2 linked regions of the Arabidopsis thaliana genome follow. The protein of the gene in region 1 interacts with the protein of each later gene in a pairwise test. Each region holds a gene or a part of one and is shown in the gene's direction. Other genes may lie near its edges.

What was found.
Region 2: the proteins of iqd2 (region 1) and KLCR1 interact in a two-hybrid assay, tested with the Arabidopsis thaliana proteins (one large-scale study listed by BioGRID).

Annotation. Positions count from the first base shown.
Region 1 is NC_003076.8:708,901-717,241, reverse strand, and holds iqd2 (IQ-domain 2), read left to right. Parts: upstream 1-4,108; 5' UTR 4,109-4,688; intron 4,689-4,823; 5' UTR 4,824-4,835; coding exon 4,836-4,895; intron 4,896-4,972; coding exon 4,973-5,299; intron 5,300-5,451; coding exon 5,452-5,673; intron 5,674-5,958; coding exon 5,959-6,078; intron 6,079-6,205; coding exon 6,206-6,862; 3' UTR 6,863-7,294; downstream 7,295-8,341. Other genes in the region: AT5G03060 (striatin-like protein), read left to right, coding at 1-200, 279-520; AT5G03050 (knotted 1-binding protein), read left to right, coding at 1,259-1,321, 1,410-1,559, 1,636-1,709, 1,805-1,940; AT5G03030 (Chaperone DnaJ-domain superfamily protein), read left to right, coding at 8,004-8,305. UniProt on the Arabidopsis thaliana protein: May be involved in cooperative interactions with calmodulins or calmodulin-like proteins. Recruits calmodulin proteins to microtubules, thus being a potential scaffold in cellular signaling and trafficking.
Region 2 is NC_003075.7:6,652,533-6,660,873, forward strand, and holds KLCR1 (Tetratricopeptide repeat (TPR)-like superfamily protein), read left to right. Parts: upstream 1-3,841; 5' UTR 3,842-4,081; coding exon 4,082-4,767; intron 4,768-4,874; coding exon 4,875-5,488; intron 5,489-5,874; coding exon 5,875-6,166; coding exon of another isoform or gene 6,167-6,170; exon of another isoform or gene 6,171-6,263; coding exon 6,264-6,501; 3' UTR 6,502-6,733; downstream 6,734-8,341.

The DNA of each region.
Region 1 (8,341 bases):
TGAATTGAAAGAGAGATTTGATGCGGCTGAATCACAATGTTCATTCTTGAAATCGCTTTTTGATGCTGAGAATCTCGCCGGTCTAGGGAGTAGCGATGTGGCTTTCGAAAATGAGGTTATTGTGGTGGAGGATTATAATGTGACTATCAAGAATGAGGTTATTATGGTGGATGATCATAATGTGAATAACACTCCAACAGGTATGTATGTATGTTCTTGATATGTTGGTGAACCTCTCTTGTAAGAAAATTTATTTGAATATTTTCTGTTGTGTGCAGATACGATTGTGATCCTTGACGAGAGTGATGCTGAAAATGATAATCCTCATCCAAGAGAGAGTAACATAATCTCTGAAAATTCTGTTGATGTAAAACAAGAACAACAATCAGCTGGACCAAGCTCATCAAAAGTAAATCGTCTATTGTCATCATCGTCGTCATCATCATCATCATCATCAGTTGAACATGTATTCGTTGAGCTTCCCTTTAAAAGGTCCCGGGATATTTATAACAAGTCTTGAACCTTTCTCGATGCAGTGATCACTGAGCCAGAAGAAGTTGCTCACTCTTAAGTTAAGCTAGTTTAAGGTATATCTTATCGATCCTCCGGTTTATTGTTTTTTGTTTTGTCCCGGAGGTTGTAACATTTTTTGGACGAGATAGATAAAAAAAACGATTAGTATCTGATTAGGTGAATATTTTGGCTGTATGTTTTTTGTAAAATGTTTGGATTACTCGGCTTAATATCAAATCGCATCTAAATCGCTTTGATTCTTGAGTCACTCCTCCATACTTAAAACGCCAATAGCATTGTATAAGCATAATTACTTAATTAGTGATGATTATGAAACAGAGACAATAAAATAAAATAAGTCTTAAATCTAAACGCTTATTTAAATGGATTCTCGGAATAAACAAATTGGCTTTTCTTCCTCATTCTCTACACTCACTGGACTCTCTCTAAAACTTCTTCATCTTCTTCTCTCCAATTCGTACTGAGCAATTTCTTCGATCTTCATCGCGTAAGTTCTCTGTTAATCTCTTTCGGAGGTTTTTTCGTCGATCTCGATCTAGTTTCTTCCGTTCTATTGTAGAATCCTAAGCTAGATTGTTGGGGATGTAATCGTACGGTTTTTAGATTTTGAAATCGGAATCTGCTGCGATGCTTTAGCTAGTGGATTCAATCGCATCGAGTAGAAAACTTAATTCTTAATCTGTTTATGCGTTCATGAGCATCGTTTTAAATTACTGCAGTTTTGATGAACACTGAAATGGAAGAAGACGCAGGGAATGGAGGATTTCGGAAACGCATGAGAGCATCTGTAAGTTTTTTTTGAATTTGTCGTTGATCTGGTGATGATGATTTTGTGGTGGATCAGATTTTTGATTTTGTCCTGTGAAATTTGTTAGGATGAAGAGGGAAAAGGAGATTCGAGAGATGGAATTAGCCTTGATCATACCATTGAGAATGAAGAAGCTGAGACGAAACTTGTTGCTTCTGATGAGATGGAACTTAGCATTGCGCAAATTCTCGATAAGATTGAGAGCTTCACACAAACTGTAAGCTGCTCTTATCATTTCCCTGATTGCTTAAGTTTAGGAAGAATCTGATATTGATTGATGCTTCTTGTGGTAGGTTTCTAACTTGCTGGAAACAGGGAAAACAATGCTCAAGGAACTCAGTAACGAATTCGAAGAACGCTTGATCATGTGAGTTTGAAGAGATTCTATAATGTTTCTGTATGTACCATGATTGAGATGTTTATACACTCACATGTGTAACACTGTTCACATTTATGAAACAGGATACACAAGGAACATGTTGAGAAATGGCAGGACGAGATCAAGGAGTTGCGTTTGCTTGATGCATCAAACGAGGAGACTACTTCCCTCTTACACAACGCTCGCTATCTGATTCAGAATCCTAGCATTGAGCAATGAGGTAAACAGTCTAAAACCCTATCAAGAAGTACTATCAGCCATTACTAAGAATAGATTATCTTCTGTCGTCCAGTGGTGTAAGAAGTCATATATATAACTTTAGATCAACATATGGTTGGTTTGAGAATTTAGATTTCTTCAGTTTCAAAAACTTTATGATGTTTTGAAGGAAACATAGAAATAGCTTATCATGAACCTTTCTCAGCTAATTAAAACCAGAATTGTGTTTGCTTCTTTATTAGATTTTGGAGTGAATATAGAAAATGACTCATATCTCTAGTTCGATCAAAAACCAGTAACTCTTCATTCTCTTTTGCAATTCTTAAATGTTTTTCTCAGTTCTTGTTTCAACTCAATCTCCCAAAAACTCTCATGCTGAACGTAACCCTATCTTTTAAAAAATATTATTATAAAATTGTTTTCTTATAACTATAAATATTATTTTAAATGTGTATGTTTAACTGAAAAAATAGATGAACTGAAGTAGTAACAAAAGTTGAATAGTGGTGAAATTAAATTCTCTGAGGTGATATAGATGGACATGGACTAATCTATATATGAAGTTGTAAACTGTTAATTCAATTAAATTCACTGGGAAGAAAAAGGTATGGCGTTATCATGGGTTCAGGTTTAGGTGTTAGCCAATATAGGAATCTTCTACCGTTGCTCTGTTACAAAACGACAAGACTTAAATGTCGGGTCGTTACCAAACTCACTGGCTCATCTAAATATCTTTAAAACGCTAACGGCCCTGACCTTATTTCCATGCCCCACTTACATTTCAGATAATGCCAAATGGATTTTTCGGTTCAATTTTGGTTTAGTTATCTTTTTTTTCCCCCGGTTTAATTAACTTATAAATTTCACTTGCTAGAATGCAAAGACCAACTCAAAGTTGACCGACGGGGAGAGAAATTTTCATAATAGCTTATAATTATTTTTTATTTTATTGGCAACGACAAAGTTTGAATTATACATTAGGTGGAATGTCCATATCCCCAATTCAACTACCGACTTTGGATATACAGATACCTATTAATATTATAAGTTATCAGAGGCATATCTTTATATAAACAGTTATACATAGGACTTTGATATGTTGGACATATGATTAGCTAAAATAAATTATCAAATTCCAACGGCTAGTTCTCACTTATTTTATATGAAAATAATTTTAGGGATGTTATACTAACGAAACAGAGAAGACGCCACATGGAGTGATTGGACATATATATGCTTTTTTTTTTTTTTTTTTTTTTTCTTAACCACAAAAATTACAGGAAGACTGGTACAAGCTGGCCACCGATAAGGAACCTTTTGGGTTTATCTCCGAAAAAAGTCAATGATTTCAGGCAGATAATACTTAATCCAGTGGACAAAAATTATATACTCTTTCAATCATCGTTCTAGTTCACTGTATGTCAATCCATATAATTTGGGAAATTGCTTTTGTGGTGGATATACACGATCATAGAGCAAAATACAGTCTGCTAATAGCTGTTGCATAAAACGAGTTTTTCCAAAGCATTATTTATGGTTTGTGTCACTAGGTATTATGAGTCAAATATTTTCTTTGTTCATCCATCGGAGATTAACTTAGTAGTGTGGGTGGATCTGAACATAAAATATGATATGGTGTACAAGTACAATGACCAACTAATTTTCATGATTTATCAAATCCAGAAAGTATTAAGTATCGTATATGGTGGCTTGTTAACGAGTATATTTTAAAATGATAAAGGCTGTCTCACTGGTGGACATATTTTGTTCACATGTTTTGTCGGTTGTAGTAATGTAAGCGTGTATTAAAACACACATACTTTATACGGATTATGCAGATGAATTAATTCGATAAACAATTGGTATTTGACGACAAAAAATACGATCTTAAATCTTAATTCGATTAATAACAGATATTTAACGGCAAAAATATAGTGTTATATTTTAACCCGCCTAAAGACAAAAATTAAAGACGAATAAAAACTTTTTATTGCAACAATTTTGTTTTATTAGGTGAAATTAAAGACCAATCTTACCGGATAAAGTTATAAATTAATTTAAAATTTATATGGTCACTGTTTTATCGATCCTCATAACTTGTTCATTAAATTATCTAGTTTCAAAAAAGGTACAAAATCCAATACATTTTCCAGTTTACACGTTATCCATATTTTAAGAAAATTTCAAACATTTTTAGAGAAAACACCAATATACCATGTCAACTATGTATACTATTTTTGAAATGCACCAAATAATAATAAATCTAAAGATACTATACTATAAAAAGAAAAATTAACAAAACAGTGTTTATGAAACTTAAGAAATAAAACTCATCACTAAAAAAAAAAAGTGAAAAGAATAGAGTAAAAGAGAGACGAAGTTGGTAAATTAAGAAGAAGAAAAGGAAAAAAAGAAGAGTAGAATGGGGCCCACAAAAGAGGCCCAATTAAGTGGCATCACGCACAAACACACACCGTCACAAATACTCTTCTTCACACAGCTTTGAATCCATCTGTCTTCTCCTCTCTCTCTCTTCTCCATTTGCAATTATGATAATGTGAAAGCAATTCGAAGAAGAAAAGTTATCTTCGCACCTCAGCAAAGATCCAATCGATTCGATTCTTAAGCTTTTTCGTCTTCTCCGATAAGGTCACTACTTAGAAGCCGCGTTGTGGTTTAGTTGACTCCTCCAGGTTTTATCTTCAAGCTTTTTCGTCTATCAGATCTGGTGTCACTGTCTTCTCATAGGTACGATTCATTCTCTCCCTGATTCAGTATCAATTGGTGAATTTTAGCTCTAGATTTCGAGATCTGTCGTAATTTAGCTACTGAGATCAGTAGATTCAGTTTCCTTGTGGAATAATTTGTTTCTTCTCTGTGAAGGATTACATAGAGATGGGGAAAAAAGCTAAATGGTTTTCAAGTGTTAAGAAAGCATTCAGCCCAGATTCAAAGGTGAAGTTTTTTTTTTTGTATATTGATGTGACTTAATGTTATAGTCTGTATATATTGACATGTTGATGTGTTTTCAGAAGTCGAAGCAAAAATTGGCTGAGGGACAAAATGGTGTTATCTCTAATCCTCCTGTTGTGGATAATGTTAGACAATCTTCTTCTTCTCCTCCTCCTGCTCTTGCTCCTCGTGAAGTGAGAGTAGCTGAAGTGATTGTTGAACGGAACAGGGATCTTTCACCTCCTTCTACAGCAGATGCTGTGAATGTTACAGCTACTGATGTTCCTGTAGTTCCATCTTCATCTGCTCCTGGTGTTGTTCGTCGCGCTACACCTACTCGATTTGCTGGAAAGTCAAACGAAGAAGCCGCTGCTATCTTGATCCAGACTATATTTAGAGGTTATTTGGTATGTAATTCTACTCTTGCAATTGGCTTTATTATCTGCAGAAACTTAATTCCTTCGGAATTTCGTATGAGTTTGACCGAGGCACTTGATTTTGTGTGAAGGAAGCTGCTTTGTTGAGTATAATCTTATTTTGTGTAATATCTGAAATACAGGCAAGGAGAGCGTTGCGGGCAATGAGGGGTTTGGTCAGACTTAAGTTATTGATGGAAGGATCTGTTGTTAAGCGGCAAGCTGCAAATACTCTAAAATGTATGCAGACTCTCTCTCGTGTACAGTCGCAGATCCGAGCTAGGAGAATCAGGATGTCAGAAGAGAATCAGGCTCGCCAGAAACAACTCCTTCAGAAACATGCTAAAGAGCTAGCTGGCTTGAAGGTCTGTCTCTCATATTCATCTGATTCAGTTTTTTTCTTGTTATTCAAAGTTTCTTCCGTTGTTTTTGGTGAGAGGATTGCTAAGAAGTAAGAACTGTTGATTTCTTCCTAGCAGTTGCTATTATGTTTCTGCTTATTAGTCTGGAAAGGGTTAATAGTAGCATTACCATTCATATCAAATAGATGTTTACTTACACTATCAATTTACTGTCTCTTTTTTTATCTGAAAATGGAATCTTTGGGCCTTTGCTTATAAAAGTACTATTTTTCCTGTTGCTGCTCACAGAACGGGGATAACTGGAATGATAGCATTCAATCAAAGGAGAAAGTTGAAGCGAATTTGCTAAGCAAGTACGAGGCAACAATGAGAAGGGAAAGGGCATTGGCTTATTCATACTCTCATCAGGTACTCCAGTCGTTACCTATAATGCTGAATGTGTGGAAAGATACAATTAAAAAGTGAACACATCCATTGAAGTTGAATCTGTGGTTCATTTGAATGTTGTAATGATCCTATATGTTCATGTTTGCAGCAAAACTGGAAGAACAACTCTAAATCTGGAAACCCGATGTTCATGGATCCAAGCAACCCGACATGGGGTTGGAGCTGGTTAGAGAGATGGATGGCTGGTAGGCCACTAGAGAGTTCCGAGAAAGAACAAAGCAACAGCAACAATGACAATGCTGCCTCGGTCAAGGGCTCTATTAACCGCAACGAAGCTGCAAAATCTCTAACCCGCAATGGCTCAACTCAACCAAACACACCATCATCCGCAAGAGGGACCCCAAGAAACAAAAACAGTTTCTTCTCACCTCCAACTCCCTCAAGGCTAAACCAATCCTCGAGGAAATCCAATGACGACGACTCCAAAAGCACAATCTCGGTCCTGTCCGAGAGGAACCGCAGACACAGCATTGCTGGTTCATCAGTCAGAGACGATGAGAGCCTCGCTGGCTCACCAGCTCTCCCGAGCTACATGGTTCCAACTAAATCAGCTCGAGCCAGGCTCAAGCCCCAAAGCCCATTAGGTGGTACCACACAGGAAAACGAAGGGTTCACAGACAAGGCATCAGCTAAGAAACGGCTCTCGTATCCAACTTCGCCTGCATTGCCTAAACCACGGCGGTTCTCAGCTCCCCCTAAGGTGGAGAGTGGCGGCGTTACCGTGACCAACGGAGCAGGCAGCTGAGGTATTTTATTTAATATAATTATTTTCCCACTTATGAATGTGTCCGAGATTGTTGTCTCTTATGTGTTCCCTTCATTTCGTAATTCATTTGTGCAGTGTAAGCGCCAGTCATTTATTTTTTTACTATAATAAATTTTATAACCTTTTAAAATTCATGTTCTTTTGTTTCTTTGAATATTTAAGTTATTTTTATTAATGTTGGATGAATTGGAATATGATGATGTTATTTGTATTGTAATGCAGATCCTTTAAAGCTTAATTAATTTGTAATACCTTTTATTTGTAGTCGTAAATATCTTATTCTACGTTAGGTTGTGCTTGTATGTACTATGAACTATGAATATCTGTGCTTGTATGTTTTTCCTTCAAAAAATATTCATATCTTTTTTACTTGTAATCGCAAACATAATCCTGTCAAAGAATCTTTGAAGATTCCCTTTTTTTATTTACTTGGCGAGAAATCAAACATTCTCTGGAAGATTAGGTATAGTACTTTGCCTTGGCGGCGATATGAAAGGAACAAAACTGTATACCAAACCCTCCGGTAGAGGAAGAGGGGTTTTGACCTTTTCTTACAAAAATGGTCGGTTTTGACTTACTTAACCGACAAATTTGTTGAACCGACAAATTTGTTGAACCGACAGTATTAAATAGAAAAGAAGAAGGAAGTTCTCTTCAAACCGACCTCCTGCCCACGCAAAAAAAAAACAAAAAAAAAGCAGCAGCGAATTTTTATTTCTCTCCTCCCAGAACCCTAAACCCATTCCCCAATTCGATCGAGAAACTCGACAATCGAAGAATTTATCAGGAAATTTTGTTTTTTTTATTCCGATTGAGTTTTCTCCGAACAACTACTTAGCTGAATAATGGTAAGTTTTTTTGGTCTGATCTTGTTTCCGTTTAAGCTGGATTAATCTATTTCTCTCTCTCGCTCTGAATTATTGTAGGAGTATCTTGAAATTCTAGTCAGTCTTGTTCGTTTGTAATCGAATTAAACTTAAAATTTACAGCAAAAACGACGTTGACAACACCAAAAAATTTCAGAATTCAGATGGGTTTGATTGGTGTCACATTCAGATGAATTCAGATCAGGATCCTTTTGTTGTCTTATGTTAAAGTCACAACAAAATGGATACATTAGATGATCTTATCTGTGGTTTGCCGATATCAATTAAGAATGTTTTTTATCTTTGATTTCCAAAGCCAAAGTGTGTTCCTTTTTTTGTATCTGACGTTGGTTTTTATTGGTTCTGGCTATACACAGGCTACGCCAATGATTGCAGGTGCTGCTGTAGCTGCTGCTGCTGTTGCTGGTAGATATGGTATATTGGCTTGGCAAGCTTTCAAGGCAAGACCTCGTGTTCCTAGAATGCGCAGGTTTTATGAAGGTGGTTTCCAAAGTTCTATGACCCGCCGAGAAGCTGCTCTCATTCTTGGTGTTAGGTTCGTCCGGCTTTCTTATACCTGCTTCATCTTTTT
Region 2 (8,341 bases), on another chromosome or scaffold:
CCTTTGCTGAGTTGGAATTTCTTGAGTTCACAGGATCTGATCACAAACCATTATTCCTATCTCTCGAAAAAACTGAAACAAGAAAGATGCGACCATTTCGTTTTGACAAACGACTTCTTGAGGTGCCACACTTCAAAACATATGTCAAAGCTGGTTGGAATAAGGCGATCAATGGTCAGAGAAAACACCTTCCGGATCAAGTAAGGACCTGCAGACAGGCGATGGCAAAGTTGAAACATAAATCTAATTTGAATTCCCGAATCCGGATAAACCAACTCCAAGCGGCTTTAGATAAAGCTATGTCAAGTGTTAATAGAACGGAGAGACGAACTATATCACATATACAGAGAGAGCTCACCGTTGCTTACCGTGATGAAGAGAGATATTGGCAACAAAAAAGTAGAAACCAATGGATGAAAGAAGGAGACCGCAACACAGAATTTTTTCATGCTTGTACCAAAACAAGATTTTCTGTGAATCGTTTAGTGACAATTAAGGATGAGGAGGGAATGATTTATCGGGGTGACAAAGAGATAGGGGTTCATGCTCAGGAGTTCTTTACAAAGGTTTATGAGAGCAATGGTCGTCCTGTTTCAATCATTGATTTTGCGGGTTTCAAACCTATAGTGACAGAGCAAATAAATGACGATCTCACAAAGGACTTAAGTGATTTGGAAATTTATAACGCCATTTGTCATATAGGAGATGACAAAGCACCGGGTCCTGATGGTCTAACAGCTCGTTTCTATAAGTCTTGTTGGGAGATTGTTGGTCCGGATGTGATAAAAGAGGTTAAAATTTTTTTCAGGACATCATACATGAAACAATCAATAAATCACACAAATATATGTATGATACCTAAAATTACAAACCCTGAAACACTTTCTGACTATCGCCCCATTGCATTATGTAATGTTCTCTACAAGATTATTTCTAAATGTCTTGTAGAACGACTAAAAGGCCATCTAGATGCAATTGTTTCAGACTCTCAGGCTGCCTTTATCCCGGGAAGGTTAGTTAATGATAACGTTATGATCGCACACGAAATGATGCACTCTCTGAAAACAAGGAAACGAGTCTCTCAATCCTATATGGCGGTTAAGACAGATGTGAGTAAGGCGTATGATAGAGTGGAGTGGAATTTTTTGGAGACAACGATGAGACTATTTGGTTTCAGCGAGACATGGATCAAATGGATAATGGGAGCAGTGAAATCAGTCAACTACTCAGTTTTAGTGAATGGCATACCTCATGGCACAATTCAACCACAACGTGGAATAAGACAAGGAGATCCCTTATCTCCATATCTCTTCATTCTATGTGCTGATATACTCAACCATCTTATTAAAAACAGAGTAGCGGAAGGGGATATTCGAGGTATCCGAATTGGTAATGGTGTTCCTGGTGTTACTCATCTACAATTTGCGGATGACTCTCTTTTTTTCTGCCAATCTAATGTCCGAAACTGCCAAGCTTTAAAGGATGTCTTTGATGTTTATGAGTACTATTCGGGCCAAAAAATTAATATGTCCAAATCAATGATAACGTTTGGTTCACGAGTACATGGCACCACTCAAAATCGTCTCAAAAACATTCTTGGTATACAAAGTCATGGTGGAGGTGGGAAATATCTTGGGCTCCCGGAGCAATTTGGGCGGAAAAAACGAGACATGTTCAACTATATCATTGAAAGAGTAAAGAAACGAACATCCAGTTGGAGTGCGAAATATTTATCACCGGCAGGAAAAGAAATTATGTTAAAATCAGTGGCGATGTCGATGCCGGTGTATGCAATGTCTTGCTTCAAATTACCATTGAATATCGTTTCGGAGATTGAAGCTCTTTTAATGAATTTCTGGTGGGAAAAGAATGCAAAAAAAAGAGAAATACCATGGATAGCTTGGAAGAGATTACAATACTCGAAAAAGGAAGGTGGTTTAGGGTTTAGAGATTTGGCTAAATTCAATGACGCTTTACTTGCAAAACAAGTATGGCGGATGATTAACAACCCAAATTCTTTATTTGCCCGAATAATGAAAGCAAGATACTTTAGAGAAGACTCTATTCTGGACGCTAAAAGGCAGAGATATCAATCTTACGGATGGACTTCTATGCTTGCGGGTTTAGATGTAATTAAAAAAGGAAGCAGATTCATTGTCGGAGATGGCAAAACCGTTTGAATCAGTCAAGATAATTTTATTGCATCGCACCCTCCACGACCTCTCAACGTCGTCACTCCTACGTTGGATATCACGGTGGATACGTTAATCTCAACTCAGGGTTCGTATAGGTATTGGAACGCACATCTCATTTCTCAGCTTGTTAGTCCCGACGACCACCGTTTTGTTATGAACCATCATCTTTCCAGGATTGTGCATCAAGATAAGCTAGTTTGGAACTACTCTTCTTCTGGGGATTATACAGTTAAGTCCGGGTACTGGTTTCTCTTTAATGACCCAACGAATATTTAGGTTAGACCAGTGGTGCCTCATGGTTCAGTGGAAATTAAGAACAAGCTTTGGAAACTCCCTATTATTCCAAAAATCAAGTACATGCTTTGGCGTACAATCTCAAAAGCATTACCAACACGCTCGCGACTTCTCACTCGAGGAATGGACATCGATCCACACTGCCCCAGATGCCCAACTGAAGAAGAGACGATAAACCATGTTTTATTTACGTGTCCTTATGCTGCGTCAATTTGGGGTCTATCAAACTTCCCTTGGTTACCGGGTCATACTTTCTCTCAAGACACAGAGGAGAATATTTCTTTCCTTATCAATTCTTTTTCAAACAATACTCTGAATACAGAGCAAAGGTTGGCCCCATTTTGGCTCATATGGAGATTATGGAAAGCACGCAATAATCTTGTGTTTAATAAGTTCAGTGAAAGTTGCTCAAGGGTTGTGACACAAACTGAAGCAGAAGTCAATGAATGGTTACAAAGTGTGAACCGAAGAGAGGACGCTTCCGTTTTAACACGATCATCACACAGGGCAAACGTGCGGTGGAAGAAACCGGTCTTTCCTTTAGTAAAGTGCAACTTCGATGCGGGTTTCACGGGTAATAATACTCAGAGTACGGGAGGGTGGATCATACGTGATCATGCAGGATTAGCGAAGGCTTGGGGATCATCAATAGTCTAAAATGGTACCACTGCTTTGGAAGCTGAGACAAAAGCGTTATTAATCGCAATGCAACAAGCATGGGTACGAGGGTATAAGTGTGTTCAGTTCGAAGGTGATTGTGAGATCCTTATCAAGGCAATTAATGGTGCAATTTCTAGATGTGAAATAACCAGTCTTCTCCGAGATGTGGATTTTTGGGCATCAAGATTTTCTACTGTGGTTTTCACTTTCACAAATAGACTCTGTAATAATACTGCTCACCTCTTAGCTTCTCCACTTTATTCGTGTTACAAGTTTCAATCGAATTCTGGTTATCAGCCACTTTGGCTCAAAAACTCTCTTTGTAAAGATTTACTCATATAAATAAATTCTGTTTGTTGGAAAAAAAGAAAAAAAAAAAACCTACATTCTAAATACTGAAACCATAAACCATATGGTAAAAAGTGGATAAATGCTCAACTATCTCCATTTCAATATACACATCATAAAAAAGATTTATATTCAATTTATTGTAAAATGAAAACTTAGATTGCATTACTTTTTTTAACTCTCTTCTCTAATTTAATTTACTATCTAAATTTGTGAGTTCATAAAATTTTAGATTGAGAACAATTCATCAGAAATTCTGATTCAGAACAGTACAAATCTTGTCATGCAAACTTATCTATCTTGTAAAATCTATCTATCACTTGTCGTCACTAAGTACAAAATCTATTTTAGTTTGTTTTTTTTGTGTGTAAGAAAAGTTTTTTTATTTAATAATCTATCACCAATATTTTCCAACACAACATGACCGTTATCTCCTCCAATCTAAAACTTAATTACGAAACTACCCTTACCTCTTTCACTGACTGACTCGTCTCCTTCTCCACTTGGATCTCAAAAGTCCGATCCAAAACCAAATCCGCCATAACTCTCTCTCTCTCTCCCACTTCCCACAGAGAGACACATTCATGCCAGCAATGCCAGGTCTCGTCTCAGTCAAAACTCCTTCCGATACACCGCCGCTACGTGTAGCCGTACCAGACACGCAACCTCTCTCAAACCCGCCGCGAACTCCGATGAAGAAAACCCCTTCCTCTACACCATCTCGATCCAAACCATCACCAAATAGATCCACCGGCAAAAAAGATTCCCCAACCGTATCCTCCTCCACCGCAGCCGTAATCGACGTCGACGATCCATCTCTAGATAATCCAGATCTCGGTCCTTTCCTTCTAAAATTAGCTCGTGACGCTATTGCTTCTGGTGAAGGTCCTAACAAAGCATTAGATTACGCGATCCGAGCAACTAAGTCCTTTGAGAGATGTTGCGCCGCCGTTGCTCCGCCTATTCCCGGTGGTAGCGATGGTGGACCTGTTCTTGATCTCGCTATGAGCCTTCATGTTCTCGCTGCTATTTACTGTAGTCTCGGCCGATTTGATGAAGCTGTACCACCTCTTGAACGAGCTATTCAAGTCCCTGATCCGACTCGTGGCCCTGACCACTCTCTCGCTGCGTTTTCTGGTCATATGCAACTTGGTGATACGTTGTCTATGCTTGGTCAGATTGATAGATCTATTGCTTGTTATGAAGAAGGTCTTAAGATCCAGATCCAGACTTTGGGTGATACTGATCCACGAGTTGGTGAAACTTGCAGGTTCTCTTAACTAAGCATTTAATGGTTAATTAAACTCTTAGATTACGTTTGCTAAAAGTTACTATATAGGTTAGATCTAAGTTTCTGAAGTCTCTGATAATTTTCAGGTACTTAGCAGAAGCATATGTTCAAGCAATGCAGTTCAATAAAGCGGAAGAGTTATGCAAGAAGACTCTAGAGATTCACCGAGCGCATAGTGAACCTGCTTCACTGGAGGAAGCAGCTGATAGGAGATTGATGGCAATTATCTGCGAGGCTAAAGGAGATTATGAAAACGCTCTTGAGCATCTTGTTCTTGCTAGTATGGCTATGATTGCGAGTGGACAAGAATCTGAGGTTGCATCGATTGATGTTAGTATTGGGAATATTTACATGTCGCTGTGCCGGTTTGATGAAGCTGTGTTTTCATATCAGAAGGCTCTTACTGTGTTTAAGGCTTCTAAAGGAGAGACTCATCCGACGGTTGCGTCAGTGTTTGTTAGATTGGCTGAGCTTTACCATAGAACAGGGAAACTTCGTGAGTCTAAGTCTTACTGTGAGAATGCGTTGAGGATATACAATAAGCCGGTGCCTGGGACAACTGTGGAGGAGATTGCTGGTGGATTAACTGAGATTTCTGCTATTTATGAGTCTGTAGATGAACCTGAGGAAGCATTGAAGCTACTTCAGAAGTCTATGAAATTGCTTGAGGATAAGCCAGGACAGCAGAGCGCCATTGCAGGTAAATTTTTTGTCCATACCATGAATGTTCCTTTAGCTGGATTGCTATGCAGTGTATTGAAATTGTGCGATTTTGGTCTCGAATTGTATGTAAAGTACTGATTTTTGTATTGTTAATCATGTAAGGAAAAGTCGCTTATAGTAACTTTACTCGTTTTGCTGCTCTGAATCTACCGGTTTTAGAGTTAGCCAATACGCTAATTTGTAATTGTGTGTTAGTGATATTGTCGAAGAATTCTAGAAATAAGAGATCTAATTACTTATCTGAGGTATTTTTAGGGAAGTAGATTGTGATCGTACAAGAATTCGAGTCTTTAGCATGACATTGTCAATCTTCTCGTCAAGCTTCCTTTACATCTGTTTTGCTTTGTATGTAAATATTTGCAGGGTTAGAGGCACGGATGGGAGTTATGTATTACACAGTGGGGAGGTACGAGGACGCAAGAAACGCGTTTGAGAGCGCTGTGACAAAGCTACGGGCAGCAGGTGAGAAATCTGCCTTCTTCGGTGTTGTATTAAACCAGATGGGACTAGCCTGCGTTCAGCTTTTCAAGATTGATGAAGCGGGTGAGCTGTTTGAAGAAGCAAGAGGTATTCTTGAACAAGAACGTGGACCGTGCGATCAGGACACTCTCGGTGTTTATAGCAATCTAGCTGCTACCTATGACGCTATGGGAAGGTAAAGTCCTAAAGAAAACTATCTGACTATGTAATTAGATCAGACATCCTTAATGAAACATTAAAGTCTTTCTTCGTGATGGCTATGTAATTTGCAGGATAGAGGATGCGATTGAGATATTAGAGCAGGTTCTGAAGCTGAGAGAGGAAAAGCTCGGGACTGCGAATCCGGATTTTGAAGACGAGAAGAAACGTTTGGCCGAGCTTTTGAAGGAAGCTGGGCGGTCGCGGAACTACAAAGCCAAGTCGCTCCAGAATCTGATTGATCCAAATGCAAGACCTCCGAAGAAAGAGTCTTCTGCTAAGAAATGGCCCAGCCTCGGTTTCAAGTTCTGAGGAAAAAATTATCATATAAAATAAATCATCCACATATATATTCAATATTTTATTTTATTGTTATTGTTATATTTTTTATCTGATCTATTTTCTGTATCATAATCTGAGGTTGATGAATTAATTTCATGTATAGTGTTTTTATTTGAGTTTGGTGAAATACTGCCAAGATGGTGAGCTGTTTGTTTGAGTTTGAAATTTCTTTAATTCAATCACTTTTTTCTTCTTCTGATAATTATATTTTCTCGTGAATGTTTGTTCTACGTGATATTTTGTACAAATATGAAGTAAAATACTAAAATGTGATAAAATCTATCACTAAATGCATTTTGAAAACTATTTATTGGATGTATCCTTTAATATTTTGTGCATTCATGTCTTGTCTTTTTATCGTAAACAGTTGTATCTGTTAAAATATTGGGGGTATTTTTTTACAATCGTGTCTTTTCATCGAAAACAGTTGTGTCTGTTAAAATATTGATGGTTACTTTATTACATTCGTATTTTTTTAATCATAAACAGTTGTGTCTGTTAAAATATTGATGGTTACTTTATTACATTCGTATTTTTTCATCATAAACAGTTGTGTCTGTTAAAATATTGACGATTATTTTTTTTACAACCGTGTCTTTTCATCATAAACAGTTGTGTCTATTAAAATATTAACAGTTACTTTCTACATTCGTGTCTTTTCATCATAAATAGTTGTCTGTTAAAAGATTGACGGTTACTTTTTTTACATTCGTATATTTTTATCGTAACTTTTGGTTAACATTGAAAGTTATTTTTTTCGTTAATGTCTTTTTATCGCAACTTCTCGTAAAACTGATTTTCATCGTAAACAGTTGTGTTTGTTAAAATATTGACGGTTACTTTTTTTTCATTCATATCTTTTTATCGTAAACAGTTGTGTCGATTAGAATATTTACGGTTTTTTTTTTTTTACATTCGTGTCTTTTTATCTTTATTTTTGGTTAATATTGACGGTCCTTTTTTTCATTAGTGTCTTTTTATCGCAACTTTTCGTAAAATTGTATTTTTATCGTAAATTGTGTCTGTTAAAATATCGATGGTTATTTTTTTACATTCGTGTCTTTTCATCATAACTTTTTGAAATATAGTTAATTTTTCTATTAGCGTCTTTTTATCACAGTAAAAATATTTAGGGTTATTTTTCAATTGTTGTTTCTCTTTATTGCAACTTTTCGTTATAATATTGATAATTATATTTTTTGTTTGTGTCTGTTCATAGCATCTTTCCTGACGAATAGTTGTCTACTTAAATGTTTGTAATTGTTGAACTGTATCTATTCGTCATTCTTCTTAAGTAATTTCTAAATATTTGATCTTTACCATAAATTATTTGCTTTATGATGAATCTAAAAAATTGTCTTTGCATTTCTGAACGGTTGTATTTTATTATCGCAACATTTGGTTAAAATGCTGACGGTTATTTATGTGTTCATGTCTTTTTATCGTAACTTTCTGCTAACATTGACGATTATTTTTTTTGTTAGTATATTTTTATCGCAACTTTTCGTTTGTATCAGTCATTTTAATATTGATGGTTAGTTTTCGGTTGGGACAACTACTTTTTTTGTTTGTGTCTTTTTATCATAAATTTCTATTTACATTGACGGTTATTTTTTCGTTTGTGTCTTTTTATCGTAACTTCGTAAAACAATTGACTTTTATTTTTTCTTGGTTGTATCTCTTTATTGCAATTTTCCGCTATAATATTGATGGTTGTTTTTTGGTTGTGTCTCATTTATCGCAACTTTCCGTTTAAATATTGACGGTTATTTTTTTATTTGTATCTTTTCATTGTAACTTTCCGCTAATA